Tamandua tetradactyla: one gene and its partners. The protein of the gene in region 1 purifies or fractionates together with the protein of each later gene. This does not show direct contact. Links are inferred from orthologs where the notes say so. Each region holds a gene or a part of one and is shown in the gene's direction. Other genes may lie near its edges. The genes, in order: SMARCA5, CHRAC1, BAZ2A and BPTF.

Region 1 (7,681 bases):
GTCTCTCCCCTTATGTGGATATCTCTCTTTATTTTACAGCTGCTGTGATTCCCCCAAACTATCTTCAAATTCTTAGAGCCAGTAAGTGAGAGTGTTTTCTAAGTTTTAGCCTCTCAATATGGTATTGGTTAGGGTGAAACTCATCCAGTGTCACTTTCTTCCCCAGGTATAAATTCCCCTCCAATCTCTGATGACTTTTTTCCCTTTGCTTTCACTGTCACCAGGTAGTTTTTAAAAATATTTTTCTAGAGTTCATAGTTGCCATCCAATGATTTGATAGGAGCAAGCTATTTTTTCCATTACTAGAAGCCAGATGTTCATTATGAGTTTTAAATTACAATTTCTGTATTTTTATAAGTAACAGCAAACAAAATTTGTGTACAAAGAAACCATTAATTTCTTAATTGTAGCTTTGGCTACAGTTAGTTGAGTGCTAGATTCTTATTTACTTTGAGTTTTATTAAAGAAAGTTGCTTCATAATTGTCAGTTAACCTATAAAGCTTTGGGCAGAGCAGTTACAACTTTGGATCATAATATTTGGGTTTTTTGGAAGTATTTCCCCAAGAACCAATTCGATAAAGAAAAATTGTATTTAACAAGCAGTAATGAAATGCACAAAGAAATGGAATTTTAAGTTATAGTGAGGAAAATACAAATTTAAAAGGTAGTGAAATATGCGTATATAAACCTAACGTACAAAATCACACCATGATGTGAGTTGACCAAATGTAAGGGGCATGTATTTAAACTTTACTAACCTTAATTTATTAAGAGTATAGTTAATGTTTTTCGTTAGCTGAAAGTAAATCCCCAAATTATTTGGCAAATGACCTATACAGGAGAAGTGAGGAAAGGATACACACACAATTATCTAAGAACATTGGTAATTTCCCATTCTTAGATAAAAACCCAGTGCTGTTTTATTGTTGTCATGTAATAACCAGACTTTATTTTCCTAGACTTTTACAAACTAAAATGAGTGTGCAGTGAAGATTAGTGCAGCACTACTACCTTTTCCTTGAAACTTAAAGTTTCTGTTACCGATCAAAACCAAAAAGCTCCTGGCTATCTGGCACCTTTTATCCTCCAGCAACATCTCTTTGTTACATCCTATTTCAATACTGCACATGCTGTTCTAACATACTAAGTTTCACAGAGGGTATTTTGTTTAAAAAAATTTTTTTATGCTGTATGGTAGGGGTCACATTTCATTCTTTTTCCATGTGACTATCACGTTATTGCAGCACCATTCGCTGAAATTTTGTTTTTGGGGGTATGGCGGGAGTGCATGAGCCTGGAATCAAACCCAGGTCTCCTGCATGGCAGGTGAGAATTCTACCACCGAACTACCCTTGCACCCCTATGTTTTAAAACTTTTATTCTGAAAAATAGCACATATGCAAAAAAGCAGAAAACTTTAAAGCACACTGCAACAATTAGTTAGAAAACAGATTTCAGAGTTGGGTATGGGTAACGGTTCTACAACTTTAGGTTTTTCCTTCTAGTTGCTCCAAGACATTGGAGACTAAAAGAAATATCAATATAATGATTCAGCAGTCATATTCATTGGTTAAATCCTATCTTCTCTGTTGTAACTCCAACTTCTCCTTGATCTTTCTCCCAATCTCTAGGGGTATTTGGGCTATGCCCATTTTAACTTTTTCATATTGGAAAGGGCTGTTGATAATATGGGCTAGGCGGATGGTATTAATTCATATTCTGGAGACGATGGCCTCACTGAGTTTCAGGACTTTTCTAGCTTAGGAACCCATCTGGAGGCTGCAGATTTCTGGAAAGTAACTATAGCGCATGGAGCCTTTGTAGAATCTCAGATAAAGTCCTAGATGTTCTTTATGGTTGGCAGGGATGGTTTTAATTGGGGTTTGGCACGCTATGATAAATAGCAATGTCTAGCTGAAGCCTGCGTAAGAGCAGTCTCCAGAGTGGCCTCTTGATTTGTACTGTCTTGACCACTGATACCTTATTTGTTACAATTCTTTCCCTCCTTTTGGTCAGGAAGGCAGTCTCATTCCTGGGAATCATATTCCACACTGTCAGGGAGACTTTCACCCCTGGATGTCATGTTCCATGCAGTAGGGATGATTTTACTTGCAGAGTTGGGCTTAGAGAGAGAGAGAGACCACATCTGAGCTACAAAAGAGGTCTTCATAGAAGGAGTTTCATGTGTAAACAATATATGCTGCATATTTGAGAGAGAACACTAAGATGGTTTTACATTGTAGTACACAGTTCCTTGAACATGGTTAAAACACTAGTTCTTTCTAGGGTTTTCTTGCCATCATTCCCCTCTATTTCTTTCAAAAAGCCATTAAGTTCCTCTTCCTCCACCTAGGCCCTGATCTGTAGGTTTATGGTTCTTCAGAATAAGAATACCTCACACCTGAAATCATAACACACTATCTGCCAGGCACGGTGTTAAGCACCTACATGCACTACATAATTTAATCCTTATGACAACATTATAAGAATATTATTCCAATCTGAGGAAAGAGAAAACTAATTTCAGAAATGCTGAATAACTTGCCTGCAGTCACACAGCTGCTAAGTTCCAGAGCCTGACTCCCCATTTTCTACTTTTTACCATACATTAAATTCTACATTATACTGTCAATTCCAGGACTAGCTCTTAGCTTTAGCCTTTTAATTTTAGAAGAATCTACATGGTGATTTCACCACCATGTAAGTACTGCTATCTGCCTAACCCAGCTTATGTTTCTAAATCCTATTTCTAGGCATTCTCTCTTTTTGGTAGACCTCTCCCCTCTCTGTCTCTGTATTTAAGGCTCTGCTCAAAATCTGTTTCTCTGTCCCTTATGTTAGATTAGTGATTTACAATGTTTTGTCTCCTCTCCTTAGTTTCTTTTAAGTATTTGTTCTCCATAATTTCCCCTAACAAGATTCTTTTACAGCGTTCATATGCTCATATGAAAAACCCACAGTACTAATGTACATATTAAATAACTACTGTCACTTTTTGGGCAATTTTATTTACTGGTTTCCTTAAAAAGTTACCACACTTAAGACCCTTTCATTTAAATACTTACGTATAATTTTAGGGTTTCCAAATCAGGACCCAAGATTTTTACCTAAGACAACTGTAAAGACTAAGTAAATATTCTGAATATTAATACTGTATTCCTTTTACATAAGAATGTAAATATTAAACAAGTACTTATTCAACAAATAATTGAAGTCTGTGTGTCAGGTAACATCGTAGACACTATTTTCTCATTCTCCCCTCACAAACTTTTTTTTTGAATTAACATTTTTTAAAATTAAAAGTGAGTTTTCTCAATACAATCATAATGCAAATTCATTTTAGAAAAATCAGAAAACATAGTCAAGTAAAAAGTAATTCAAAAAATATACCAGTGACAATCATTTTGAATACTTTTACGCATAGCCTTCTAATCTTTTAATCTACATCTTTTTCTACATTTTTGACTTGATTTTTTTTTCGGTTAACACTGTTTAATGAACGCTATTCTTCTTCAATGTCAATGGCTGTTAAAGACCAACAATTCGGTTTTGGATGCCCAATAGTTTTAAAATCAGAAATGGCATTTTTGATGGGCTGAGGACATTTTTTTAGCTCTCAAAGAATTATTGTTCAATTAGCTAAAATGGTTGCAGGATATTCAAAAGAAAATCCTTCTGTTTGAAATTCAACATAATCAACCAGGTGGTTCAACCTTAACTCTTGAAAATTTTGTCTTCTTTATCCAATAAATACTGAGTGAACAGTGGACACGGGGATACGGACATGAATAAGACACCTGAAAGGGCAGATAATAATCTAGCGTATCACGCAGTTTTGTTATCAAATAGAACATAATGTGCTTAAATTCTGTATAATAGATGGATGCACAAACCTTTAGGCATTTGTGGATGCACAAAGCAGTTTACACAAAGAATTACAGTGCCGAAAATTCAACACAACTTTGTAAGGAAAAGAGAATGCACATTTTAATTAAACGTTTGGTGATGAGGAAAAGATACAACCCTTCGCTCGTCTGTTTTCTTCTATTGGATACGCATGTTCCTCACCTAACGGTGTGCGCACGCAACTTATCTGCTTACTTTTAGCATGGGAATTCAGAGGAAAAATCGTATACCCTTACACCAAAAGGAAGTAGGGGGTATTCAGAAATGACTGATGCAGCTAATGTGTGAAGACTAACCAAAAATACCTTTGTAACGGACATTTCGCCAACAACAACAAGACCACAACAAAAAAAGAGACTTCATTCAAGATAACCGTATCGTCGTCACAGTGACGTCACGCGCTTGTCGGAGGCGGCAAAAGCGTTAAGGCCCAGGACAGACCTCCAAGTACACAGCGCGAAGTCGGCAAGTCTTCAGGGAATGCCGCCGACGCCGGCCAGGCCGAGAAGACAGCGAATCCAAGGCCGGTGAACCGTTACGAACACGTATAAAACTGCTTTCACGTCATGCCGAGTAGCCGACACAGAAACCCTGGGTTCACATCTCTCCCAGCCTCTCTGGTCTCCCTCGAGGTCCCACCCACTCCGCGCTCCAGAGCATGCTTAAGATTCGGGAGGAGTGGGTAAGCGTGAGGGACGGAACACGCATGCGCAACCGGGCCCCAGTCAGCCAACCAGCACTCTCGCGAGTGTTGAAAGTCGGTGGCGTAGGTAGTAGATCCTGGTTTCTGGTGAGTTAGGTGATATTCGCCAGAGGTATTAGAGGAGGAGGCGAAGCTGCTACCCCATTTCAGTCTCTCTTCTCTTTCCTTCGTGGTTCCATAACCTTCGGCCTTCCTCTACATCAGCCCCTGACCTTGGTGACCCGGCTGGCCCCGCCCATTCTCGCCGACGAGATTCCCGCCGTGAGGTAAGCCCGCGTCGAACACCGAGCGCCGCTGAGGAGGACGCGGAGGAAGAACCTGCTGCGTCCGCCTCAGGCCCGTTTCGGAGCCGCGGCGGGGGTGGGGGTGGGGGGCGGGAAATCGGGTTCTTGCTCTTCCATCAGCTCACTGCGACGTAGCCACCCAGGCCTACCTAGGCCTCTCCCTCCATCCCTGCCAGGCCGGCCTCTGGCAGCAGCGGGTGACGCAGACGGAACATCATGTCGTCCGCGGCCGAGCCTCCGCCACCCCCGCCTCTCGAGAGCGCGCCTTCCAAGACCACAGTCTCCGCCGCCAGCGGCGGGAGCAACAACAGCAACAAAGGCTGTCTGGAGGGTGTCGTGTCCCAGGTGGCTCCCTTGGTGGCCAGCGCAGGTCCTGCCGACGCGGAGATGGAGGTGAGTGAGGAAGGTGGGAACAGCTTGCAGCGCGAGAGAGGGCGGGAAGGCAGTGGCGAGAAGCTGGTTCCTTCGCCTTGAGTTCAGTGATAGACACAGAGTCATACTTCACCCCTCTGCACCAAATTCGGCCTTAGGCCTTTTGTATCTGAAATGATGCTTTCTCGTTATTACGCTCTGTCACCTGTCCAAGCAGATTCAGATGGTTTTTGGCACTTCACATTATAATTGTCTTTTTTAGTAGATCTTGCCAAATCCTCTAATGCCCTTATTAAACAGATGTGCTTGATTACTGTGGTCAAGTGAGAGTTACCCACCCGTGTTGTAGCCCCATTAGACTCCCATAATTCCCCTGCCCATCCTTGAATGTAGGATTTAGTTTCCACCAAACTTGGGGGAGGAGCGAGGGAGGTGCCCCTTAAAAGTGAGGGAAAGACTGTTTCTGAATGGAAGGCATTTAAAAGCAGCGCATGCGAGCTCTCGGGCCTCTTTCATCCAGTCCTTGCGGGGGCGGTATCTGTTCGTAAAGAAACAATGGCGAGGGCTGGATGGCCCTCTGCGCAGTGGGGATAAACGGGACACAGCTGCTCCTCTGAAGTGACACGAGGTCCCTCCCAGGCCCTTTTCCGCCGGGAGGGATGTGGCCAAGGCAGCAGCAGCTGCTGTCTTGGGATCGCTGTCTAATTTTCGGTGGGAGTTGATGAATGAATTAGTGAATTAAGGTCCGTTATTTGGCTTTCCATCCAGCGTACGTCTTTCTGGGCCTTGACATTTTTTTTTTTTTTGTCTTTAATTAGTACAGCGCACTGCACCCTGTGGGATTGGGTTGCTCAGGTGGGTGACGACTGTACTGTGGGGGTGGAAAGACAGTGTTGCTACTAGGTGGTTCTCTGGGAGATGCTTCAAGGTTTTTCTATGGTTGGGAACAGTGATTGGCCCTTCCAGTTTTTGTTCGTGGTCTTCAACCTGTTTTGAGATATTTTCGATATTCAGCTCAAAGATTATCTGTGATTTTTCCATTCTTAGACGAAATGAAGTTAGTGTTGCTATGAAAATTTTGATGCAGAATCAGCAGGCTGAGAAAATGGTAGCACAGTTTACCAAGAAGGCACTTGGCCAGTAGTTTTATTTGAGCAGCAAGGATCTAATCTAGGGTGATATAACATCTTTTGTTATTAATCTTTGAAAGTACTTTTAGTGTTGAGGATGAGTTTCAGTGGAATAGGAGATCTAATGTTACGTAGTTTTCAGTGATTGACATTAATTTAAAATAAAAATGTATCTGCTATTGCCTTTTTTCCCTTAAGGTTTGTGGTTCTTTTGGGTTACTAGGGCTATTTAACTTAGGTTACTGCCCCATGGGTAAGAGGGCTTAAAAAATGTGATACTGAAAGCAAAATTGTGTGTGAATGTGCAACTCTCTGCGAAGAGATGTTCGAAAAGATATTCATAGTTTTCATCAGCTTCTCGAAAAAGTCCCTCATTCAGCCTTGGAATAATGTAAAAATGTTTCACTAGAGGTCTTAAATATCAGAAAGCAGTGTAATTTAAAGCTAATTATTGTGGCTTTGATTTGCTGTTTTAAAATTAAAGCTTAATTAAATTTTAAATAGGTGTTTGGTATGATGATAACAACAGTTGCTGTGTGGAGTCGTGTTTGCCAGATGAAGAAACTGAGTCTTTTTTAACTAGAACCTGTAAGTGAACCCAGGCCTGACTTCAAAGCTGATTGTTTTTCCCCACATCTTTCCGTGTCACATTCTTATACAAATGATGTTTAGCAATTTCATTTACTGCAGAATGACACGGTTTTAGTTTTTTTTTTTTTACATGGGCAAACACTGGGAATCACACCCCAGTCTCCGCCATGGCAGGCGAGAACTCTACCACTGAGCCACCGTGGCCTGCCTGGGTTTTTTTTTTTTACCTTCTCAGTATGAAAATATCAGTAATTTTATCTTTTCTCAATCTATCTTTTCATTGACTAGATTTTTTTTTTTTTTTTCTGTCACATTATGGTGTCTTTCATCTTTCTAAATTAAATGTACCCTCAGTCTTACACGAAAGGGTTTGAGCATACACACATTATCTGAGGATAGATTTAAAAAAAAAAGAAACATTTTTACAAACCTTTTTATTTTGTCTTAAAATAGGTTTTAAGGTCCTTTTTTCTGAAATCAGGAAATAAATGAAGCTCTGTTTTCATGAGCTTTTTTTGTGACAAAGCTAACTTTCCTGGAAGTATCAGCCTTGCTAGCTAATTCAATAATTTTTTTTTTGTTTTGTTTGGTTTGGTACTGATAGTCAAGAGAGCAGTCTTACTTTTTTATTAATTAATATGATCTTGTTAATGTGGAGCCTGTCTTCATTCATCCTGATTGCTCACTATTGACT
Region 2 (8,521 bases), on another chromosome or scaffold:
TCTTCTGTCTTTTCGTATCTGACTCTAGTGCTCCCTTTAGTATTTCTTGCAGAGCTGGTCTCTTGGTCACAAATTCTCTCAGTGACTTTTTGTCTGAGAATGCTTTAATTTCTCCCTCATTTTTGAAGGACAATTTTGCTGGATATAGGAGTCTTGGTTGGCAGTTTTTCTCTTTTAGTATTTTAAATATATCATCCCACTGTCTTCTAACTTCCATGGTTTCTGCTGAGAAAACTACACATAGTCTTATTGGGTTTCCCTTGTATGTGATGGATTGTTTTTCTCTTGCTGCTTTCAAGATCCTCTCTTTCTCTTTGACCTCTGACATTCTAACCAGTAAGTGTCTTGGAGAACGCCTATTTGGGTCTAATCTCTTTGGGGTGCGCTGCACTTCTTGGATCTGTCATTTTAGGTCTTTCATAAGAGTTGGGAAATTTTCAGTGAAAATTTCTTCCATTAGTTTTTCTCCTCCTTTTCCCTTCTCTTCTCCTTCTGGGACACCCACAGCATGTATATTTGTGCGGTTCATATTGTCCTTGAGTTCCCTGATCCCCTGCTCAAATTTTTCCATTCTTTTCCGGATAGTTTCTGTTTGTTTTTGGAATTCAGATGTTCCATCCTCCAAATCACTAATTCTATCTTCTGTCTCTTTAAATCTATCATTGTAGGTATCCATTGTTTTCTCCATCTTTTCTACTTTATCCTTCACTTCCATAAGCTCTGTGATTTGTTTTTTCAGTTTTTCTATTTCTTCTTTTTGTTCAGCCCATGTCTTCTTCATGTCCTCCCTCAATTTATCGATTTCATTTTTGAAGAGGTTTTCCATTTCTGTTCGTATATTCAGCATTAGTTGTTTCAGCTCCTGTATCTCATTTGAACTATTGGTTTGTTCCTTTGACTGGGCCATATTTTCAATTTTCTGAGCGTGATCCATTATCTTCTGCTGACGTCTGGGCATTTAGTCAGATTTCCCTGGGTGTTGGACCCAACAGGTTGAAAGATTGTTCTGTGAAATCTCTGGGTTCTGTTTTTCTTATCCTGCCCAGTAGGTGGCGCTCGTGGCACACGTTTGTCTGCGGGCTCCACCAGTAAAAGGTGCTGTGGGTCCTTTAACTTTGGAAAACTCTCACCATTGGGTGGTTTGCCAGCCGAAGTGGATTGGAAGAGTGCCAGCCGGTTTGGGGGTCCGAACGCGGGGAGAGTCGCCGGCCGCCGCAGCCTGGGAGAACGCCCGTCCGAATTTCCTAGTCGGCCCGAGGCGCCAAGCGTGGCGGGAGGGCGCCAGCCGCCGCAGTAGGAGGAGAAAGGGAAGGATAAGATGGCGGATGGAGCGCCGCCGGAGCAGAAGGGGATAGAGAAGGGTAAGATGGTGGCGGGAGCGCCGCCGGCGGAGAAGGGGGAAGAGGAAGGCTGGATGGCGGCGGGAGCGCCGCCGGCGGAGAAAGAGGGAGAGGAGGGCTGGCTGGCGGTGGGAGCGCCGCCGGCGGAGAAAGAGCGAGAAATCCTTTTTTCATATATATATATATATATATATATATAAACATATTTATTGATAAATCTTAAGATACAAACATACAAACATTCCTTATATGGTGCACAATCAATGGCCCACAATATCACATAGTTGTGTATTCACCACCGTGATCTTTTCTTAGAACATTTGCATCACTCCAGAAAAAGAAATGAAAAAAAAACTCATACATACCATATGCCTTACCCCTCCCTCTCATTGACCACTAGTATTTCCATCTACCAATTCATTTTAACCTTTGTCCCTCCTATTATTTGTTGATTTTTTATCTATATTTTTTACTCATCTTTCCATAGCCTAAATAAAAGGACAAGCAAACACAAGGTTTTCACAATCACCCAGTCACATTGTAAAAGCTATATGATTATACAATCATCTTCAAGAAACAAGGCTACTGGAACACAGCCCTACAGTTTCAGATGCTTCCCTCCAGCCACTCCAATACATATCCATATAAAGGGATATCTATATAATGCATAAGAATAACCTTTAGGATAACCTCTTGACTGTTTGAAATCTCTCAGCCACTGACACTTTTTATCTCATTTCTCTCTGCCCCTTTTTCCTTTTTTAAACTTTTTTAATTGCATAGTATAACAAATATATGAAGCAAGCAAAAAAATAAAAAAGCAATAGTTTTCAAAGCACTCTTCAAGAAGTAGTTACAGGACAGATCCCAGAGTTTGTCATGGGCTACCATACGATCCTCTCATATTTTTCCTTCTAGCTGCTCCAGAACATAGGAGATTAGAGGGCTTAAATATATTTTTATCATCACAATCGACTTTTTTTCCTTCTTTTTTTTTTGTGAAAATAATATATATCCAAAAAAGCTATAAATTTCAAAGTACAGCGCCACAATTAGTTGTAGAACATATTTCAAAGTTTGACATGGGTTACAAGTTCACAATTTTAGGTTTTTACTTCTAGCTGCTCTAAAATACTGGAGACTGAAAGATATCAATTTAATGATTCAGCATTCATGTTCATTTGTTAAATCCTATCTTCACTGTATAACTCCACAATCAACCTTTGATCTTTCCATATCTCTCTTTACGGGTGTTTGGGCTATGGCAATTCTAAATTTTTTATATTGGAAAGGTCTGTCACTAATATGGGATAGGGAGATGGAACTATCTGATATTCCGGAGAGGCTGGGCTAAGTTTCAGGACTTATTTGGACCAGGGACCCATCTGGAGGTTGTAGGTTTCTGGGAAGTTACTCTAGTGCATGGATCCCTTGTGGATCTTATATATTGCCCTAGGTGTTCTTTAGGATTGGCTGGAATGGTCCTGGTTGGGGGTTGGCAGGTTACAATACATAGCAAGGTCTAACTGAAGCTTGTGTAAGATCAACCTCCAGGGCAGCCTCTTGACTCTATTTGAACTCTCCCAGCCACTGACACTTTATTAGTTACACTTCTTTTCCCCTTTTTCGTCAAGATGGAATTGTTGATCCCATGGTGCCAGGGCCAGATTAATCCCTGGGAGTCATCTCTCACGCTGCCAGGGAGACTTTCACCCCTAGATGTCATATCCCATGTAGTGGGGAGGGCAATGACTTCATTTGCAGGGTTGGGCTTAGAGTGAGGCCACATCTGAGCAACAAAAGAGGTCTTTCAGAAGTTACTTTTAGACATACCTATAGGTAGGCTAAGCTTCTCTGCTACCTACACAAGCTTTACAAGAGTAAGCCGCAAGATCAAGGGGTTGTCTTGTCGATTTGGGTGTCCCTAAAGTTTGACACAGTATCAGGGGATTCCCTGATGGTAAATTTAAATATTTCCATATTTTTTCTCCTATCCATCAAGGAACTTTGTTAGGCCTAATTTTAGGTAGGCTTAACCTATCCTTTGGCAGTGATAAGTTTCATAGGGTTGAACCCCAAGATTGAGGGCTCAAGACTATTGATTTGGTTGTCTCCACCGCTTGCGAGAATATCAGAAACACTTCAAATGGCAAGTTGAGTATTTCCTCCTTTTTCCCCAGTGCCCCAAGAGGGGGTGGTCTTGCAAATACTTCTTTATTCACTGCCCAAGTTACTCTGGGATATACTGGGGGCATCATACTAACCCCGACAAACCCATAATCACACTCTAGTCAAGAGTCCATGTACTCACTGTGCTCAATTAAGCTGACCATACAAGTGAAATTAGGAAATGCACTACCCAAATATAAATTTTGCGCAAAATAAACATCTCTCCCTTTGGTCTCAAACAGAAGTTGAAGTTTTAAAATATGGACGATATTATTCTTTACCCTATATCCTGATCTACCTCAGTCCTATCCAGATCTGCTTCATTCATAGCTCTGCTGGAAGTCAGACCCGTTTTCCAACTTTTTAAAACAATTCCTGAATAGGATACTGCTGGTTTTCATAGTTTCAGAGCTCTAATTTTGAGACTCAGGTGTCACATAAATACATAAATACTCAGGTGTCACATAACGTTTCTGGGAATGACCAGGTTATAAAAAACAGCTCAGTATGAACAGAGGAATCCTTCTGTAACTTAAGCCATAACCATCATTCATGTAATAAAACTCTGCACCAGTTTCCCATTTTTCTTAGAATGAAATCCAACAGGGAGCAAGCAACCTTGGCTCAGTGGTGGGGCTCTCACCTGCCATGCCAGAGACCCAGGTTCAATTCCCGGTGCCTGCCCATGTAAGAAAAAAAAAAAAAAAAAGGACAGAGTCTAGACCCTGACTACTTCTGGGATCACATTTAGCACACCTGCGGTGGTCTCTCTTCGCATCATTAAAAGGTTAACTCCCACCTCAGGGGCTTCGCATTTGTTGTTCCTTCTCCCAGGAAAGCGCTTTCTCAGACATTGCTAGGGCTTGCCTTCTCTCTTCCCCAGCCGGTAAGCCTTCCCCACCACCCTGGATAAGACAGTATTCCCCGTTAGTGTGTCTGCTGGCACGGCTTCGTTTTCTTTCATGGTAATTCTCACTACCTGACAGTATATTATATATTCGTTTATTTTCTGTCTTTTACTCTACAATGTAAGCTTTAGGAAATGCGCTGCTAAGAACCGGGGTTTGAAACCTATCCTCACCTACTGGCACAACTCTTACTTGGCGTTCAAATCGGGGTCGGCAGCACCCTGCCTCCCCTCGGGTTCCTGAGAGGGGTGAACACCCCGCCCCCACAGCTCCTTCTAGAGTAAAGCCCAGGATTCCGCCCTGGCTCCTGTAAAAGTGCCTCTCACCCCTCCGTTCAGGGCCTGTCCCGTGAGCAGGCTCCAGACTCGCCCCCGCGTACTCCAGGCGCTGGCGGGCGCTCTCTGGCTGCGGGCACGCCATCCCCGCGCTCGACCACCAGCCGTGAGGAACGCGGGAGAGCCCCAAAGGGGAAGGTCCAGGCGCGTCCGCGGACGCTCCGCAGGCACAGTCCGCGCAGGCGCAGAGGCGCGGCGGGCGCGGAGCATCACGGAGCCTGTAGTCCGCTCCCGTTCCGCACCTCCCCGACACTACAACTCCCACGGGGCAGCGGGACGCCGGCTCCGCGGCCCCAACTTTGTTTGCCAGCCACGTCGCTCGCGGCGGAGGCGGCGTGCCTCGCGGTTGGGTCAGCCGCGGTTACCGCCTGCGGGGAGGGGGCGGGAAGATGGCGGATGTGGTCGTTGGTAAAGAGAAATGCGGAGAGCAACGGCTGGTGTCGCTGCCCCTGTCCCGCATCCGGGTCATCATGAAGAGTTCTCCCGAGGTGTCCAGCATTAACCAGGAGGCGTTGGTGCTCACAGCCAAGGCTACGGTGAGGCTGCGTGCGGGGAAGGAGTGAGAGGCGGGGGTGGAGACCGCCCCCTAACCGCCGCGCCCCGCCCCGCTGGGTCCCGCTGTGCTGTCCGGTTCTCTTCGGCCCGCGCGCCGCCAGCTTCTTTGCGCGGGCTCGCGCGCCTCTCCAAGTTGCCTCTGCACCCGCCGGCGCGCGCCCCGGTGCCCGCACGCTCCGCCCACGCCCTTCCCAGCTGCGCCCAGCTCAGCCCGCGGGGCTGCCACCCTCCGTCGCGCGCCCTCCCGTGCCCTCCCGCCAGCGCCCCGCCCACCGCGCTCCCGGGTTTCTTGGGCCCTGGGCCTTCTCGTGTCCGGGTATTCCGAGCCGCAGAGCTGTTACTTGCCGGTGTCCGCTCTGTTCCACGGTTCTGGAGCCCCACCTCCCCCTAAACATCCGTGAAATGCCCGCGAACCCTTTCTCGTACCGTGGCGGCGCGCTTGGGCGGTCCTCTGGCATATTCCATTGAGCCGGCCCCCAGAACGCAAGTCCTCTGGGAGAGAAACTAAAAAGTAAATAATTGAAACTTTCTTGCCGCCCGGAATCAGAGACGGAGCGAGCAGCGAGTTCTGGGAGCCTACCTGCTCCCCAGATCACCCCACATCTCCTAGGCAGAACATCCCACAGCTTAATTTTACAATTTATCCTAGTGCTCTATTCCGTGAAAAATAGATGAGCTGCTTGTGGTCTCCGAACACTTCCTGTTCGGAGGCTGGGCCGTGCCTCAGCTGTAGTATTAATTGCCTTAACTTGCCTTACTTCCTATTTCCAGTCCCTCTGGCTCGGGACACGGTGTCCCTACAGTATGCTGGACTAGAGCTGAGAGGCGGGGGAGGGAAACCACAAGTTTCGTACCTGTTTTTTGCCAGAGCCGTAATTACTCAGAGCCCAGGAAAATATTTGCACATTCCACATGTAATATTGGGATTTCGATGTTTTCTTGTACAATTTCATCTGTTAGTATTAAGGAGCCAAGATTTAGGCAGGCATTTCTTTAATCCCTTATTAAACGAACTAGATGAATTAAAATATACGAAATAAAAACTGAGGGAGAGAGGTTCAGTTCAGATTGTTGCTTTAGGTCAGTCTGTGGATTATGTATGTGTTCCTGGCATAAGGAAAATGGTTTAGGCAAAATGAGGATGTGCCAGTTTTGAGCTTCAAGTTGCTGACTTTATTATAGATCTAGTAAGCCGGTAGAAACAGTGCATTTAGATAGATGACTAAAAATGTGTCCTTGACCCAAACACTTTTTGAATGTCTCATGCTCCTTCCTTTAGGTGTAGAGATTGGTCATTAAACGTTTATGATTCATCACTTAATCACTTCTAAATATTTTTTGTAAGTTAGAAATGTAAACTAAATTTTCAGGAAGTGCCTGCTTCCCCATTAACTTTGATAGGGTCTTGCGTTCTTTCTGACCTCATGTTTCTCTTTTCCCCAGTGATTTCCTATAATTGAATTTGAGAAACCAAAGTAATTTTCAGTCATCTAAACTTAATGTAATTAAAAAGTTAAATTTTATCTATAATAAGTTTTCAAAGCTTACTTTCATTTTACTTTTTTGTTTTGTTTAAGGAACTCTTTGTTCAGTATCTTGCCACCTATTCCTACAAACATGGCAGTGGAAAAGAAAAGAAAGCACTGACTTACAGTGATTTATCAACTACCGCAGAGGGATCGGAAACTTTTCAGTTTCTTGAAGGTATTTAGCCTTTGAAACATTCTGGTTAAAAAATGCTTAGTAATTTACAGCTTTTTTTTTTCCTGTTCTGCTTTCACTGAAATAGACGTTTTGGTGCTTTCTCCAGGTGCCAAAGTTTACCATGACCTGGCACAAGAAGACGTTTTCAGTCTTCTGTTTGAATATGTTTGTTATGTGGTTCTAGACCAATAATGGAGTCAACAGTCTGCACAAGAATGTGTGGCTCGCCGGGTGGGTGAGCCTAGCAGACCCCACCCCCTCAGGATCCACCCTGCTATGGAAAGGGATACTCAGTATGGTGTTCTGAGTTCCAGAACAGGGAAAATAATATTTGCTGCTGGGTAACAGGACTGTAGCTAAAAAGAGCTTAAGTCTGCCTTTGGGTCCACCCAGCCCATCTCAGGTAGGTTGGGCAGGGTCATCAGCATAGAGAAACACCAGGGTATGTGCTAGAAACAGGTCATTGGCACCAGTCAGGAGGCAGTGCTAGTTTCTCTGATGTTTCACCTACAAACATAGCCTCAATTGTCCTGTTTTGAGACCTATTCTAGAGGTCAGTGCAGGAACTAGGACATTTTGAAATTTGCATCGATGTATTCATATCCATATGAATACCATAACCAATTGCTGACGTAAGCTTTATGTTTTTAAGATATATTGCCAAAGAAGATTTTAGCTAGTAAATACCTGAAAATGCTTAAAGAGAAGAGGGAAGAAGACGAGGAGGAGGAGGACAATGATAACGAAAGTGACGATGAAGCCGAATCCTAAACAAAAAATAAATGCTTTAAAAATCAGCCTGGTGAGGACCCTTCTGGATTAGCAGCACTGCTCTCCAGGAAGCCAAAAAGCCTGTGGGACTTTCGTCTCTCCACTTTTCAGAAACTTCAGGTAGACTGTGTTCTTTCCTATTCTTTCCCTGTTAAGGGAGGGCATCTAATGCACCCACTCTGTAAGCAGCCAAAGGCAGAGGAGCCCAACAGCAGCGTCTCTGACAGAGGGTCCCAGTCATCACCAGCAAAGGCAGCTTTGCTTTTTAATTGACAGATGGATTTTGAAGACTTTCTAAGTATCAGTTGTATAAATTCTTATATGTATATTTTGAAATTAGTTCTGATAAACAACTAAGACTCAGTTTTAGCTAAATGTATAGTTTTGGGGCAGTACATTAAATTTGAATTTTTGCATTTCAAGGTTTGTTTTCCTATTTGTTCAAATATTGACCCCCCTTTTACCATAAAGTAATAATACTTTTCTGTTAAAGCTCTGTATATATTTTTACAGTAAAGTATTTTGTGGAGTTATTGCTCTGTTGTCCTCTCTTGTTCTAACGTCTTGGAAGATTTTTAAATGTTTCAATCACTCTTACTCCTAGAGAAAAATCCTGTCAAAATTATCAACTACAAAAAATTTTTTTCATAAGCATATTGTTCTTAAAAAACATTTTGTGTATTAAAGATATTTCATCTTATTGTTCTTTTTTAAATACTCAGTTGTTTTTACTGTCCAC
Region 3 (7,973 bases), on another chromosome or scaffold:
CCTCCAAACTATGAAGTCACTGAGTGAGGGGTAGGCTTGAGATTGAGAGCACTTGGAGATCTTTACTCTCGTGGCTTTCAGAGGCTTTTAAACTTGGGCAGCGTTGGGGGAAGGAGGCTGTGCCTTTTCACAGCTGCAGAGTTGGGACGCCGAGGAGCTGAAACATGGGGAACCTGTTCACCTAGTAAGAGGCCGTGCCTGGCCCACAGCAGGGAGAGTACCCTTTCCAGCACCTGATGCCCTCGGCGGCGTCCTCGTGGCTCTCACCGCCTTCCCGGCCCTGCGTTGTGAAGAGGTCTTCGCGGGTGCCCCGGGAGCGCTGGTAGAGCTCTCCCGTGTTCAGTTCAGACCTACCTCTAACCCGCCCCACCTTCCCGCAGAAGTTTCTGTCTCTTCCTGGGATCTGTTCTTTTCCTCCATCTGGGATCCTTCCTGGTTCTGGCCTCTAGGAGACGCCACCCGCTTCCCCCTCCCCCAGCGGATCCTTCAAGATAGGTCTTCCCGAGCGCCCGTCCTCACCCCAGCAGCTCCTGCCCCTTTAAGCACCACCTCTCCTCCCCCGCCCCCCTCCACCGCCGCCGCCGCCGGCCGGGGCTGGGGGAGGAGGCGCCACTGCCGCCGCCCGGCTCGGCCACCTGCGCCGTCACCGCCGCGCCCGCGGCCCGGCCCTGACCCAGGTGAGGCCCAGCACCCACCTCCGGCCCCGAGGTGCCCGAGCGGGCCGCTCCCGCAGTCCCCTGGCCCGACATTCAGGATCTGATCCTCTCTCCGCCGGAGTTGCCCCTCCTCGCTCCCCCTCACTATCTATTCGACCATTTCTCCCCAGTCCTCCGCGACCGGAATTCCGAGGCTTCTCACGCGTCCCTGCGATCCTTTCCCGGGTATTCCTCCTATTCTCAGCCCTGGATCTCCCCTCCCCCTCGCCAGAAAAATCTCCCGCGGTCTAGATTTCGCCTCCTCGCCTCTGGAACTAGCGCTTTCCCACGCCATCCTAACCTCCAATGGGAGGAGGAGTAACTGCCACCCCAACTCCCCTCCTTCTCCGTAGTAAGGGGGGCCCGGCGTAAAGTACAATCATTTTCCGGCCGCGCTCCGCCCAGCCCAAGTTCATCTAAATCCCATCTAAAGCATTCCCGTAGCCTTATCCCATTCCAGCCCCTTCCGGAATTTGGGGGTCTGACCTTGGTACCCTCCAACCAAGCCCTGCTCTGCTGGGAAGGGCCCACTTCTTGGGCCCCGGGTAGGCCAGTCCAGCCTAGGAACACTCTTTTCCCCAGAGTAGGATGTATGTGTCTCTGCCAGATTCTTGTGATTCTGGGTTTAAGATGCTATTGAAGAAGCTTGTGTTGTAGACCTGGGGGTGGGAATTTGGGGCTTTCTCCATCCTGTATTTGAACCACCATAGAGAAGCCTATTAAGGGAGTTCAGCAACAGACTGGGGTGTGAATCCAAGGGGGCACTTATGCCCTTGGAGGGAGGAGAAGGGAGAGGTTAGGGTCCTTTAGATGGGAGAATCTAGCCAACCCAAAATATAAAGAGGTAAGAGACTAACCTGGGGAGAGAAAGGGATCATTTGGAATGATTTCAGGGCTGAGGGTAATCTAATAAACATTATTAATAATGTGATCCATTGGGGGAGGAGGTGGTAGGGATAGAGGGCTTTAATAATTACCCCAAGGCCATTGGGGATTTCCTTCCCCCTTTCCAAGTCCAGCTGTAACCTTAACTGTTCTTTCTCTTGTACTCTCTTTTTCCACTCTCCACCTTCAGAATTGGGGGACAGGTCATCAGGATTTGCTTCACTCTTCTGAGTCTTGTTTGATGGGGCTGGGGGGGGGGGAACTAAGAGGAGGAGAGGGTGGTCAGCAGTGGGGTTGTGGGTTGGATGCCAGAAGTGTCTGGAGGGGGAGAAGGAGAGAGGTAGAGGGATGCAAACAAATCTCTTTTCTCCCTCTCTTTCTTTCTTTCTCTTCCCCCTCCCAGTCCCTGCCATCTGGCTCCAGAGTGGAGCCAGGCACTGTGGCAGCTGACCCCAGAGTCAGGGTGGTACAGCAGGGACACAGGGAGGGTGAGAAAGGGGAGCAGGTGCTAATTTTTCCCTCCTTGTTCTCATTATCTTCCCACTGGCCTGGCTTGACAGAGGTTCCATCTATTCCCTAGACATTCTTCTCACAAGTTGCTGAAAAATGACCATTTGCCCCTTTCCTTTTCTAGTAGCTTCCTGGGGGTGGGGGAGTGGTAGGGACAGGGGTGAGTGGCTGCATCTGATGGACTGAGGAATGTCTGCCCTCTGTTGTCTGGATAGAAGGAGAAGCACAGCTGCTGCCTGAGGTGGCTTCTGGCAAGTAAACACCCAGCTTTTGGGCGTATTGGTACCCCACTCTCATCTCTCCTCAAAGATCAAGGAAGATCCCTGTTTAGCTGGGATGAATATGATTCTGCTGTGGATGGGAAGAACAGATCCAGGCCCAATTTCTTTTCTGATCCCAGGTGACCCTCTCCTGGCTGGAATAGACCTAGGGGTTGCCCTGGAGATAAGGCCTGGGGCTCGGAAAGGGTGGGGGCAGTCTGTGGGGCACAGGAGTAACCGGCTCTTCCGGAGCAGAGAGGAGTCGGCCAGCCGGTGGGTGTGTGTCTGTGGGGGAGGGGACAATGGGCGTGGCTATACCCATCTGACTGACACAGGCTCCTACCCTGCTTGCTCAGTATCCCACTCCCCAGCCCTATGATTGGGAGTGGGAGGTAGGAAGATTCTCCCTCCTATGAGAGGGAAAAGGAAAAGAAAAACATTGGATAGCAGCTCTCTTTCTCTGCCCTTCAGGAATCAGTTCTATGTCCTGAGCTCTCTTCTCCATCTGCCTTTATTTAGGGGATGGGAGAAGGCCTTCCTTATCAGAAGGTTGCTGGATCCCTCCTTTCTCCAGAAGGAAGACTCTGCTCCCTCTGAGTGTAGCCTCTACCCACCCAGGTACTTGAGGTTAGCAGGCTGTTGGGGGTCTTTACTTATTCTCCAAGGTGACCTATAAACCTTTCTTTTGACAGGGAGGAGAGAGGCTTTTGGTTTACCTACCTGTATACTTCCCCTGGAAATCTTAGTAGAGGGAAAGAAAGCCCCCTTCCCCTTGTCTCTCTGGCCCACACCTTTTGTGAGGCTTTGCTGAAGCTATTGAGTATCTGTAGTGGGGGAATGGAGTCTGTCCCCCAAGCACAGGAAGGACCCATCCCTCTGTGGAATAATCCAATCTAGACTGCTGGCTTTGGCCTTTCTCTGCCCTGTCACCACCTGGTCTTCAGATCTCTTTCCTTCCCAAACCTCCAGAGGAAAAGGTATATGTTAATCATCCCCCCCTGTGCCCCCTATCTGCCCGAGGTTCTCATCCTGGCTTTGTCTGTTGCTCTTCCAGAATATTCAGCCTGAGCTTTGCACAGTTTAGGCAGTGGTTTGTAGAAATGCATTGCACTGAACTGAATGGGAATTATATTGAGGTCTGTTGAACTGCAAGGAATGGAAACCTGGTTTCTAGTCACATTTTTATCCACTGTTTGACCTCAAACAGGTCAGTCGTTCTCTGCACTTAATTTCTTCATCTGGTAACAAGAGAAGGTTGCTAGAAATTCTCTAAGCTCTAATATATGGCACTTCCATCCTGGGGCCCTGAATGTAAGAGACATAGCAGATGACAACCAAACTCTGATCTTCTGCCTGATTTTCCTCTCCTGTTTTCAGAAGGTTTCACAGTGTCATATGACCCTATCACATATAACTTTATCAGAAAAAGTACTGCAACTAGAGCCTTCAGAAGAATAGGTGGACATTTGGGGCATGTATTGCTGGTCAGTTTTCCTCTTATCTCCTGGCCCTCTGACCATGTTTAGGCCAGACTTGAGTCTTCACTATTTGATTCCAGAGCCAAGCCTCCTCTTCCCACTCACAGGAATCTCCCCAACGCCAAGGGCCCTGCAGATGTCACCGGGAAAGTGGTGATCCAGGCAGTACCAGGTTGCCCCCACGGGACAGAGGTGAGTGGGTAGCAGATACCACAGGCTCGCTGCCTTGCTCCACCCCTTTATCAGGACTGAATCGTCCTGACTAACCTTCCCGCTTTCACACTTCTGCTTTTCCACTTTCCCAGCCTGGGAATAACTGCACCCGAAATTATCTTCCAGACCCCCGCCCCCACCCACCTCTCGCCTATTAAAGGAATGGCACATGCCTTTGGTCCTAGAAATTTGACCTAGTCTTTTAGGTTAACCTTGGGACCATGCATGGCTTTCGTCTTGCCTTGTGTGAAGCAGGACCACCGCCTGCGATGAAAGGCAGGTGGACAGGGGTGGCCGGATGGCAGGAGACTCAGTGGCGCTAGGACCCAGATCCGGGTCGGAGAAGACAGAATTCTGGGCGCTAGGACCCGGAGGCGGAGGCAGCAGAGGGCGGCTCTCTGGGCCGCAGCTTCCCCGCCCCCTCCGGCTCCCGCTCCCTCCTCCCCGCCGGCCATGTTGGCTCCGCTTGGGCCCCGCGGTTGAGCCGCGTCCCCCTCCCCCTTCCCGGACCCTGTCCCCTTCCCTGCGGGCGTCCCCTCCCCTCCAGGCGCCCGGAGCGAGGCCATGTGAACCGACCGTCCCCCGGGGAGAGACGAGCCCCGAGCCCGACTGTAGCCGCCACCTCAGGTCTGTGGGGTCTATCCCGGGGGCCTGAGGGGAGAGATCCCCGTTTTCATCTGAGGCTTCCCTCTGGAAACGGTGGTTCCGGAGCTGGCTTGATCACTGCCTGCGGCTTATTTTCAGTTAAGACCCTGCTGCGTGCGGGAGTCTCCTTGCCCCCGGGAGAGGGGGGGACGCTGGTGGGTCTGCTGAGGACCCGTGACGGGGCTGCGCGGGCGGGAGGAGCTGTGGGGGCTCCTGGCGGCGGCGACGACGACGAGGAGGAGGCGGCGAAGCTGCCTGTCTGGTGGAGATGACTCCTGTGGAGGACTCGGGGTGGAATCCCCGGGAGGGGCTCCACCTCCTCGAGTGGGGGTGGGGACTGTCCGAATGCGAGGGGATCCCTGGGAGGGTTAAACACTCGGTTTGTGGGGAGTAGGGCATCTGAGAGTGTCTTCCTTGAAGGGAGCACACGTTCTCTTCGGCGTGGTGAGCCAGAGAGAGGCCTTACTGGGATGGTTGTGCATGGGCAGAGATCCGGCGCATTCGGGGAGAATCCTACACTCTTGGGTAAGGGTTGTAGGGCTGATTCTGAGGCGTTTGAATTTGGAGCTGGGTTTAGGGGCTGAAGGGAAGAATAAAGAGGGATCCCTTTCCAAGGGGATTCCTCACTAAGGGGATCCCCATTTCCGTGGCAGAGAAGATGATCTCACATCATCCCTTTCTTTTCTGGAATTCCGAGTTTTCAGAAGCGTACAACGCCAATAGCAGTTATCCTTTGTAGGGTTTGCTGGAGTGAGGGATTTGCGTCCTTCGGGGGGTGGTAGGGGGATAGCTTCCACCTCCATCTGTACACAAACAGCCCCTCCCCCAGCCTCCCGCAGGAAGTGGCCGGGAAATGGCAGCTGTGCGTTCGCTGCTGCGTCTCTTGTTTTGAAATGTCCATTTTAATCAGATTTAGTTTCATTTTCTGGGGCCTTTTGGGCAAGCCTCGATCTTGCCCACCGTGTAGTCTGAGAGTCCTTTCATTGGACTTTTTTTTTTATAAACTTAATTTGTCAACTGGAAGTAGTCGCTGCAGTTGACTCACTGATCCTGATCCCCTTCCAAGCATCTCTGTCTCCCTGTCTGGGTTTTTTTTTTTCTCCCTTGCGCTAGAGGTCATAGAGAAGCAAACTCACTTATCACCAGCAGGGGTACACTCTCAATTCAAGTGATGAAAATTCCCTCAGCATACAAGACTTGGGATCTTTTGTGGTATGGTATGAGTGGCTTCTTGAGATCCTCAGAATGTTCTTAAGCATGGCAGTTTCCGTATTGTAGAACACCTGAGCAAGTCAGCTTATGCAGTAAAGAAGGGTAGATTCTGAGAGGTGGAAGAGGGTGGGGAAGATTTGACTGAGAAGAGGATTTGTGTGTTGGCATAGTGAGTTAGTGTGAGGGTGGTGGGGTCATTCCTGAGAGACAGTTCCTCTGGGAAGCCTATTGGTTGACTTAGGTAGAAGGTTCTGAAGAACCAACTAATTAGTACAGGAGAATTGGCTATCATATGATTTACCCTTTAGTCCATAAAATACATCTTCCCCCTTATTAGTCTTCTTAGAGAGAAGTAAGTTTTTCCTATGTTCTTTGTAAAGTCATGTGTCCGGATTTAATCTTTCTCCCACCTGATAACTCTAGGAGATTTCTGTTGGCACATTCGGTGATGATGTGTGTACTGTGTCTCAAGACATTTTGGTTAAGGACAAGAGTGGGCCATAGGATTTTAGATTTTGTGAGATGAAGTAGCGATTTCATTTGAAGTAGCTTGAAAGCTGCTTAGGCCTAGCATTTAAATCATTATTTTAGTATTTTCGTATCACAAACCACTCTCCTGGATGTAGATCCCTAGAGTAAAGGTCCAGGACAGAAACAGATAAACAAATGTGATTGATAGTGACATCTTCACTGTTAAGATATCATCATTGTTCTTTTTACTGGGTATGTTAAGTTGCTAATATTCTGTAAACAGTGAATACAAAGTCTGATATCAGCTTTTTCTTGCTCCTCTGCTTGACTGTTTGGTTCCGTTGAATTGCTTTATGATAGAAGGTTGATTCCATGCTGATTGTAAATTTTTTCCTCACCTAAGTCAGGGCTCACAGAATAGTAACTTGTTTTTCCATTAAGTGTTAAAAGAGTGAGGAAAGGAGAATGGACCACCCTTTTTTCTTTGAACTCGAAAGAAATAGAAGCTGATTTTGAGAAAGTAGATACTGACTTCATTTGATTGGTGAATGAAGCAAATCTCTCATGACCTTTGTGTAAATGTCTGCATTTCTATACCAGAGAAATGGATTTCTTAATCTTAACTGGTCCTTTTTTTTTTTTTTCAATCCCTGAAGGAAAAAAATTGAGGTACAGGGAGAACTTCATGGGCTGACCTCAGAGCTAGTCAGAAATCTAGAACACCTTGAGAGGCTCATCTTGCAGTCTTGTGGTTCTGAAATCACGTGTTACCAGGAGAGAAGCAAAGTTTGTTAGGGTTATTGACTGTGTTTGGCTGCTTGACCAATCTTGTCACCTCTGAAGAGGTCAAGTATTAAACTGTTATTTTTTTTTTCACTGTCAGACTAATATGGAAGTCAGTCAATAATTGCTGTGAGATTTGGCATTGCGTGAGATGTGCAAAGTGAGGCAATAAGACCCAAGTTATGTACTAGGACATAGACTAGAGCATGAATCTTTATATATATGTTATATATAACATTATTAGTATTATTTATGTATAAAACTCAAGGTATTTGCTAGGACAAATAATCTTCCTGATTTTTTTTTTTTCGTGAGGTATGGGTGTCCTCAAATGAGATGAGAAAGATTAATACTTTCTCAGCATTGTTGCACATGGTCAGAAGGACATGTTTCACCAGCTTGTCAGTCTGTATAATTTTGAAATTTATAAAATTCTGCAAAACAAAAAACCTTTCTCCATTGAAGAGTTATAGAAATTGTTCTAGGACTGGTTTACTGACTGTAAAAGTAGCATTGGCTTACTGTTTTATGCTTTCCCTAGTTATAAGGAATAATTACTAAAGGAATTTTGCAAACTGAAGGATAATGTAATCTTTAAAAAATTGGTCAGAAAAAAAGTAAAACAAGGATTCTTAAGAGACAGGTAGTCTCACTACTTTTGGTCTTCTGGAATTTGACTCTCTATAACCTGCTTCACTAATAGGATCCTTGCCCAGCTCAGTTTTTTTGTGGTAGTGGTGGGGATGAGTATCTTCTTGGAGGAAAAGTTGGCATCCTTAAGTGTTGACCTGAAATTCTGAGAAATATCGGAGCTGAAAGAG
Region 4 (7,598 bases), on another chromosome or scaffold:
TTCTTTGATTTTTCTCCCAATCTTTAGGGGTATATGGGCTATGCCCATTCTAACTTTTTCATATTGGAAAGAGTTGTTGATAATATGGGGTAGGGGGATGGAACTAGCTGATGATTTAAAAGGCTGCCCCCCTCTGGATTTCAGGACTTATACAGTCTAGGAACCCATTTGGAAATTGTAGGTTTCTGGAAAGTAATCATAGTGCATGGAATCTTTGCAGAATCTCAGATAGAGCCCTAGGTGTTCTTTAAGGTTGGCAGGAATGACGTTGGTTGGGGTTTGGCAAACCATGGTAATTAGCCAAAGCTTATGTAAGAGTAGTCTCCAGAATAGCCTCTTGACTCTATTTGAACTCTCAGCCCTTGATACCTTATTTTGTTACAATTCTTTCCCCCATTTTGGTCAGGAAGGTGTTGTCAATCCCACAGTGCCAGGGCCAGGCTCATCCCTGGGAGATCCCACATTGCTAGGGAGACTTTCACCCCTGGGTATTATAGCCCATGTAGGAGTGGGGGGTGGTAATGATTTTTCTAGCAGTTGGGCTTAGAGAGAGAGATGTCACATCTGAGCAACAAAAGAGGTCCTCTGGAAGTAACTCCTAGGCATAACGATACCACCTCAACCTTTTAACTGAAAGCTAGCACTACTCTGAAGCAGTGGCCACTGCAGTTTGGCAGTGTCAGCAGGGCAAGCCGGGTCTCATGGCAGGGAGCCAAAGTCATGCTGTGTTCACAGGTCCAGTTCTCTAGCCTGATTTTGTATACTTCCTGACTGCATAGCCTCACAGCCTGGTTTTCAGGGATTTTCAGAGATTCTCTGAGCTTAAAGAATGGGGTGCTGGTGTCTGCTGCTTGCAACTAAGAACCCAACTGATAACAAAATTGGTGCAAGAGTGATTGCAGGCCACGGACTTTTGGGGAAATGGGGTGGGACTGGTCTATGACTGTGTTTTGAGAGTGATGATAGAGAAAATACTTCTAGTATTAAGGTATGAGCCTTTGAGAGCTCATAGCTAACAGTGGGAAAACAACTCAACAAAATCACCTGTATCACTTGGAATTGAAAGCAAGTCTTTAGTGGACTACGTGAGCATATAACGGGTGTGAGGAATTTGAGGACTGTGTGAGGGCGTGGTTTCTGCCAATGGTACCGGATGTCTGGCAGCTGTCTTTGGATTTAGAAGACATTTGTATGTGTTGCTTTAAACCATTTTCAAAGTGGCCTGAATGCTTGCCAACGTTGAGGGCAGCCCAGAGCAGTAGGTTCATTATCAGTTACAGGCTGCAGTGCAAGGAGCTCTGCTAATTGATCCTAATGACCCAATGGATTTATCGGTGCTTTGTGTACAGCCTCATATTGGGATGCTGTACAGAGCCCATGGAAAGCTCTAAAAGGAGCATCACTATAGCAATGCTTAGGATTTTGGAGCAAAGTCTTGCTCTCTTCAGCTGATAAATAGTTTCCTTTTTGGAAGCTGCTCTGACTCTACTCATAGGCCCTGCGGTCAAAAGCCTGACTACGGGTGTACTATGAGACCATGTTAACCTGTGCTGCTTATCATGAATTATCTGTCCCACTTAGCCAAAAAGTGCCCAGTAGCACTCCCATCCCATGCTAGTAGCATTCTAGCATGGTATAGAAAAGCAGGCCAGAGCAGGTTCCAGAGAAGGCCTAGGAGTGTAAGCCCCAGTGTGTTTACTCCCATCTCACCACCACCACACCCCGCAACCATAGTCTTGTGGAAGGATCCCCATGACCAGATGACAAGGAAAAACACCATTTGAGACTGTTTCACAAATGGTATCAGCTGGAAGTGGACAGCTAAGGTGTTTTAACTATACTTGCAAATGGTCTTGGATGGTAGCAAAAGGAAATCTTCTTAGTGGGCAAAACTTTGAATTGTACTTCTTGTGATTCTCTTCGCCTAAAAAAAGGAAGACGCTACATGAATTTGAGGACAGTTTCTCTTTGGCTAAGTAGTTAGGGACTGAGCGGATTGGGGACAAGGCAGTTTGAGAGACAGGACATAAATGAATCTCTCAGAAAAGATTTAGAGAGCGAGAGTTTTTGTGTCTCATATGAATGCTTATCAAAATGCCCACACTACTAAGGAAGCTTTAATAAGTTGGTAGATGAGGAGATCCGCCCTGTGAATGTACATCAAGCCTCTTCCCTAGTCAAACCAGTGCTTGTCTGTTCAGGACCAGAGTCCTGAACAAAGAGGCCATGGAAGCCACAACTCAGGTTGTGCTGTGTTCAATACAACACTTCCTTTCTGCAAGGCTGACCTGGCTATTGCCACTGTTGAGTACTCATGTTAGAAGAAATCAATATAATGAACTCTTTCTATCGTGGAGGGGCCAGTAAGGGAGACACACTGAGAAGAGGTTATACTGAGTTTAGGTTTCTCTTCCTGTCAGTCAAACTTTTCCCATCACCCTATATGGACTTATTGAATACCTTATTCACCATCGTGATATCTTATGCATCATGGCATCTGATCAAGGAATTAACTTTATAGTTAAAGAGATAAAGAAATTGGCTGCCTGTTTAGATTCACTAGCCCAACAAGTGCACCCTGACAACCAGAAACAGCTGGCTTTATGGAACAGCAGAATAGCTCACGGAACACATTGTTACTGAGACACTGGAAGTTAACAGCTTGAGAACTTCGATTCCATTTCTACTCGGAATTGGCAATTGTGGAGATGCCCACATCCTTCTCATGAATTTCTTTTCTATTTCAATAAACCAGAGTCGATTTCTGTTGCTTGCAACTAAAAACTCCAAGTGATACAAAACTAGCTCTCACTGTGCCATCTATTGTAATTTTTTTGTAAATTGGTTACTAGATTGTAAACTCCAAAGGTGTCACTATTTCTATCATGTTTGTCTTCCCCAAACTGTCCTTTTCATAGTACAGAATACCGACTACAAACTTGTAGACCCTGGGTTATTCCTGGTCTGCATCTATTTTGATTGGTCTGAAGTGTTTTTAAAAATTGACTTAGTTGCTAACATTCAACAATCAAGAGATTTCATATGAAGTCCACATTTCCACCTTCTTTGAACAATTTTAAGATCTCGCCTGCCTTCTGTAGTTGCCCTCTTTTTCAACAAAACACAGGTACTCCAGGTTGCCAAAATCTTCACTTAGCCCATTTTGTTTACTTTTATTACCTACCTGGTTCCTGTAGACATATAAATTTGTGACCCTTGGTACTCAACCAAATTGTACGGAACAAATTTGGCAATTAGCACTTGCATTTCTTCAATTACCATTTTACCTGTGTTCTATTTTTTCCAATTGCTTCGTAAACTATTTGGTGGCCGGACCCCATTTTTCTTTGTCATTTTTCTATGTAATGTATTTCCATAAATATTAACTTATGTTTATAAAACCTTTCTCTTACCTCCAGGGCTGACCCTGATTTGGTCTAGCGGAGCCTGAAAATACATCAGCATGATTCATTCCCTGGGCTATTTGAGACTTGGTGACTGATGAGGTAAAGAAATTAAAATGATTTCTCTAGAATGCAAACACAACACTTTGAGGTAGGTGTCAGGAGGGACGCCGTCCTTTCTACCGTAAACGAGAAACAGGAAAGTTCTCGTTAAAGTGGTGGAGTTTCTAGTTGGGGCACTGGAAGCGGTGTGGGAGACTGGAACGTAGTTGCGCTCTGGAGTTTGTCCGAGGCTTTCCGGGATGTGATTATACGCGACAAGCCTCTGAGCGACTTTCCCAGGGCGTGGTTCCTGGCGGCGACCCGGAGCAGTTGCCACTGGGATCAATTTCAGCACTCCAGAACCAAGCCTTCGGAGTTTCATATTTCTGGGGGCTCGTCCTCCCGCCCCCAGTTAACTCCCCTACGCCGCCAGCGCTGCGTTGTCCCCTTCGGTCGCTCGGGTCGCCCCCTCCGCGACACCCTCCCTCTCCGGCTGCCTCAGCATCAGTTTCAGATGAATTTTGTGTCTCCCCGGCTTTCCCCTCCGCGCTGGGCGCGGGGAGCCGCGGGAAGGAGGATTTGCCAAGTCTGGGGTCCGTCTGAACTCCATCCAAGCTTTGATCTCCCGACGCTTTTTTTTGCAGGGGGCATTTCCCGACAGGGGCGCCCCTCTCTCCGGCACCACCGCGCAGAGGCGCCCTGGGCTCCCCGCCCCCGCCTCGGAGCTCCCGCACTCCCCCTAGCGGCCGCCGCGCGGCCTCGCTCCGTCCCAGGCTCGTCGGCGGCGCAGCTCACGTGACCGTGCTCCGGGCCTGCGGCCGCTGTCGGTTCCCCCAGTCACCGAGCGAGAGGGAAGAAACAAGATGGCGGCTGAAGGCGATCCGGAGTGGGGCCCCAGCAATTCGGATTGAGCCTTCTCCCTCCACCCGCTTCCGCCGGCCCGGCCCCTCCCGCCCGGCCCCGCGGGCCTCCCCACCCGGCCCCGGCGCCCCCCACCGCCGCCCCTCCGCCCGCCCCTCCCCCCTCCGCTTTCCCTTCTCCCCCCCGCCTCGGCTCCGACATGAGGGGCCGGCGGGGCAGGCCGCCCAAGCAGCCCGCGGCTCCCGCTGCGGAGCGCTGCGCTCCGGCCCCGCCGCCGCCGCCGCCGCCGCCGCCCACGTCCGGACCCATCGGGGGGCTCCGCTCGCGGCACCGCGGCAGCAGCCGGGGCAGGTGGGCCGCCGCCCAGGCTGAGGTGGCGCCCAAGACGCGGCTGAGCTCGCCCAGGGGGGGCAGCAGTAGCCGGAGGAAGCCGCCGCCGCCGCCGCCGCCACCGCCGCCGCCACCGGCCCCCCCCAGCACCAGCGCCCCGGGCCGGGGGGGGCGAGGAGGCGGGGGCGGCAGGACGGGGGGCGGGGGCGGCGGCGGCCACCTGGCCCGGACCACCCCGGCCCGCAGGGCCGTCAACAAAGTGGTGTACGATGACCACGAGAGCGAGGAGGAGGAGGAGGAGGAGGACATGGTCTCCGAGGAGGAGGAGGAGGACGGCGACGCTGAGGAAACCCAGGATTCCGAAGACGATGAGGAAGATGAGATGGAGGAGGACGACGATGATTCCGATTATCCGGAGGAGATGGAAGACGACGACGACGACGCCAGTTATTGCACGGAAAGCAGCTTCAGGAGCCATAGCACCTATAGCAGCACTCCAGGTACCCACCCAGCCCAGTTGCTGCAGACTCTTTCCCCACCTCCCCTACCCTCCCCCCCTTGTTCACTCCCTCTCATGTACTGTGCATCCTGCTCCGGCCTCCCCCTACCCCCACCTCCCCCCAAACAGGGGAAATGCGACGGCACATCAAGTGGCAAAAAACTAGATTTGCAAGAGGAAAGAGGCGCATTGTTCAAAATGGAGATTGCATTGTTGCAGTTTGCAGGCCACACTCTCGCTCTCTCTTTCTACCCCCCACTCCCTCTTTTTTTTCTCTTCACAATTGGTGCCAGTGCAGTGTCTCCACCGGGCAGGATTGAAACTTTGGCACACATATCCATTGCATTCATTTTCTCTCCTTGTTTTGGTTTGGTTTTTTGGAATGAAAGAAGCCTCTTGTTTTGCAAACCTCTTTGCATTTCTAATGTGGTTTCTTGTAGATATTTATTATATATCTGCTCCTTAGAAAGGGGATTAAGGATCCCGTTTTTAAGATGGGGCGCGCACACACACATCCAAAACACACTTCCCTTCACACCCCTAGATGTGTGGTTTAAAAATTGTACTAAGGAAATAGATCAGTTGGGTTAATAAGGAAGCCTTATCTGGTCCTGTATGTCGTTTTTATTCTTTGAGTGTTAACAGGCTCGTGCAACAGTTGCTGGTAAATGGCTGATGAAAAAACGCAAAGCAGAAAGCTAAGTGAAACGAAACCAAATTTAGTAATTCACCTGATTCAAAATCATTTTGGTGAAATCCAAAATAAAAGTAAAAAACTGCAGGAGCATGCTTTTAATTTGTTCTTGCTTGCTTTGCTTTGGAAAATGCAGATTCCCATCACCTGTTGCAGAAAATGTGTAGTTGATCATCCAGATCATTGCTGAAGATGAACTTTTGGACCAACTTTTGAACCAACTTGAAACTCTCAAAGCAGATATATCGAGGGATTTATTATAAAGTGACCTTTTCTTTTCGCTTTATTTCTGAATAAAACTCCACCCTGGATCTGTATTGAGCTTCTCTATGGTGACTCCTCCCCTGTTTTCTCACAGAGTTTCTGTAGGCTGGTGCTAAAATGCATTTTGTTAAAACATGCAGACACACAATTGCTGCTTTGTATTAAATAACGTAGTTGCAGATTACTAAATTGTGAAAAAAAAACCCAACGTAGTTTGTAGCAAAAACCTACAAGAGTTTCTCCCTTTTCATTATATTTTTGTTTATCTAGTTTAAGGAAATTAGATCCTAGTTTTAAGAGCATTTTACAAAGTAAAATTTATGAGGACATATGAGGAACGTAGAAAAGTAATTAAGGTGTGTCATCTGTTTTTAAAAGAAACACTAGAGTAGAAGTGATTAAACTTAAATGTTTCCATTTTTTTAATAAATGGCTAAATAATTGTTGAGGAGTGTCAGATGTAAGCGTTAAGTCAGATGTAAACTCATTGAGGTTATCTCAACATCTAATGGAAAAAGGTAATTTATTTTGCTTAACAATGGGAATATCTGTCTTTTTTGATGGGGAGCAAGCAGGAGAATGAAGGAAATGAATAAAATAATGTCAAGTATTTATGTCTTTTGTATGTAAGGACTGCAGGTAATTTTTCATTTCTTGCCTACTTAATTTTAGTACATCTTTTATTGTGATAGTTTTTACTTTAAGAAATCGCATGTTGATTTTCTTTCTACCCAGAGTCCGGATTTGAATGAACCACATACAAACTGAATTGCACTATTGGAAGACGTTTTTCCAGATTAGACAGAGTGATGGCATTGTGACAGGGCAGTTCAGCTAACTTTAAATCCCATTTGAAGGCCTAGTAAAGAGTATTTAGGATTGGTGGCTGTGAATTTATTGTTTTAAATTACAGTTTGTGGTTAGGTTTTCTTTTAAAAAAAATCTGTATTTACGATACGTTTTCTTTTTTAAATGTGTCTCCCTATATACATATATTTCTTTTCTATACATACACACAGAGAAGCAGATATGTGATATGTATATCATAGGGAGTTTTGTTCACAACTTTTTTTTTTTTTTGGAGGGGTGGTGCATGGGCCGTTAATCAAACATGGGTCTCCCACATGACAGGTGAGAATTCTACCACTGCATCCCTCAGTTCTTTTTCTTTATGATTCTTGCAGTCAACCTTTGTATGCTTGTCCTAACTCTGTATAAAATTATTAACTCTTTAAGGTTAGGTGTCCATCCTGTATCCCCTACAGCTTCTATTACAGTGTCTTACACATAGCAGGTGCTCCTCAAAGACTGGTTGGATACATGATTGCTAGTAGGTGAGAGTTTGTAATAGATGAAGTTTTGATAATTCTACAGTGGATTAATATGTTTGAGCTTCTATTTTGTATTACTTGCCAGGCACTTTCCTTTCCTTAGAGGTTGTGTGTGGTATTAGCTTGTTGGATGTCTTGTCTTGTCTTTTGAAACACATTTCTCAAGATTGTAG

What was found.
Region 2: the proteins of SMARCA5 (region 1) and CHRAC1 fractionate together in Homo sapiens (co-fractionation; 5 studies listed by BioGRID and IntAct, with this or other methods). This does not show direct contact. The link is inferred for Tamandua tetradactyla from reciprocal best matches to the Homo sapiens genes SMARCA5 and CHRAC1.
Region 3: the proteins of SMARCA5 (region 1) and BAZ2A purify together in Homo sapiens (affinity purification with western blotting; 3 studies listed by BioGRID and IntAct, with this or other methods). This does not show direct contact. The link is inferred for Tamandua tetradactyla from reciprocal best matches to the Homo sapiens genes SMARCA5 and BAZ2A.
Region 4: the proteins of SMARCA5 (region 1) and BPTF purify together in Homo sapiens (affinity purification with mass spectrometry; 4 studies listed by BioGRID and IntAct, with this or other methods). This does not show direct contact. The link is inferred for Tamandua tetradactyla from reciprocal best matches to the Homo sapiens genes SMARCA5 and BPTF.

The regions. Positions count from the first base shown.
Region 1 is NC_135348.1:24,143,746-24,151,426, reverse strand, and holds the start of SMARCA5 (SWI/SNF-related matrix-associated actin-dependent regulator of chromatin subfamily A member 5), read left to right. Parts: upstream 1-4,332; 5' UTR 4,333-4,589; intron 4,590-4,612; exon of another isoform or gene 4,613-4,814; 5' UTR 4,815-4,876; intron 4,877-5,070; 5' UTR 5,071-5,110; coding exon 5,111-5,287; intron 5,288-6,961; exon of another isoform or gene 6,962-6,984; intron 6,985-7,681. UniProt on the Homo sapiens protein: ATPase that possesses intrinsic ATP-dependent nucleosome-remodeling activity.
Region 2 is NC_135332.1:87,004,873-87,013,393, reverse strand, and holds CHRAC1 (chromatin accessibility complex protein 1), read left to right. Parts: upstream 1-5,012; 5' UTR 5,013-5,141; coding exon 5,142-5,288; intron 5,289-6,884; coding exon 6,885-7,011; intron 7,012-7,663; coding exon 7,664-7,782; 3' UTR 7,783-8,315; downstream 8,316-8,521. UniProt on the Homo sapiens protein: Forms a complex with DNA polymerase epsilon subunit POLE3 and binds naked DNA, which is then incorporated into chromatin, aided by the nucleosome remodeling activity of ISWI/SNF2H and ACF1.
Region 3 is NC_135333.1:123,696,838-123,704,810, reverse strand, and holds the start of BAZ2A (bromodomain adjacent to zinc finger domain protein 2A), read left to right. Parts: upstream 1-4,896; 5' UTR 4,897-5,156; coding exon 5,157-5,211; intron 5,212-7,973. UniProt on the Homo sapiens protein: Regulatory subunit of the ATP-dependent NoRC-1 and NoRC-5 ISWI chromatin remodeling complexes, which form ordered nucleosome arrays on chromatin and facilitate access to DNA during DNA-templated processes such as DNA replication, transcription, and repair.
Region 4 is NC_135332.1:6,280,745-6,288,342, reverse strand, and holds the start of BPTF (nucleosome-remodeling factor subunit BPTF), read left to right. Parts: upstream 1-4,506; coding exon 4,507-5,137; intron 5,138-7,598. UniProt on the Homo sapiens protein: Regulatory subunit of the ATP-dependent NURF-1 and NURF-5 ISWI chromatin remodeling complexes, which form ordered nucleosome arrays on chromatin and facilitate access to DNA during DNA-templated processes such as DNA replication, transcription, and repair.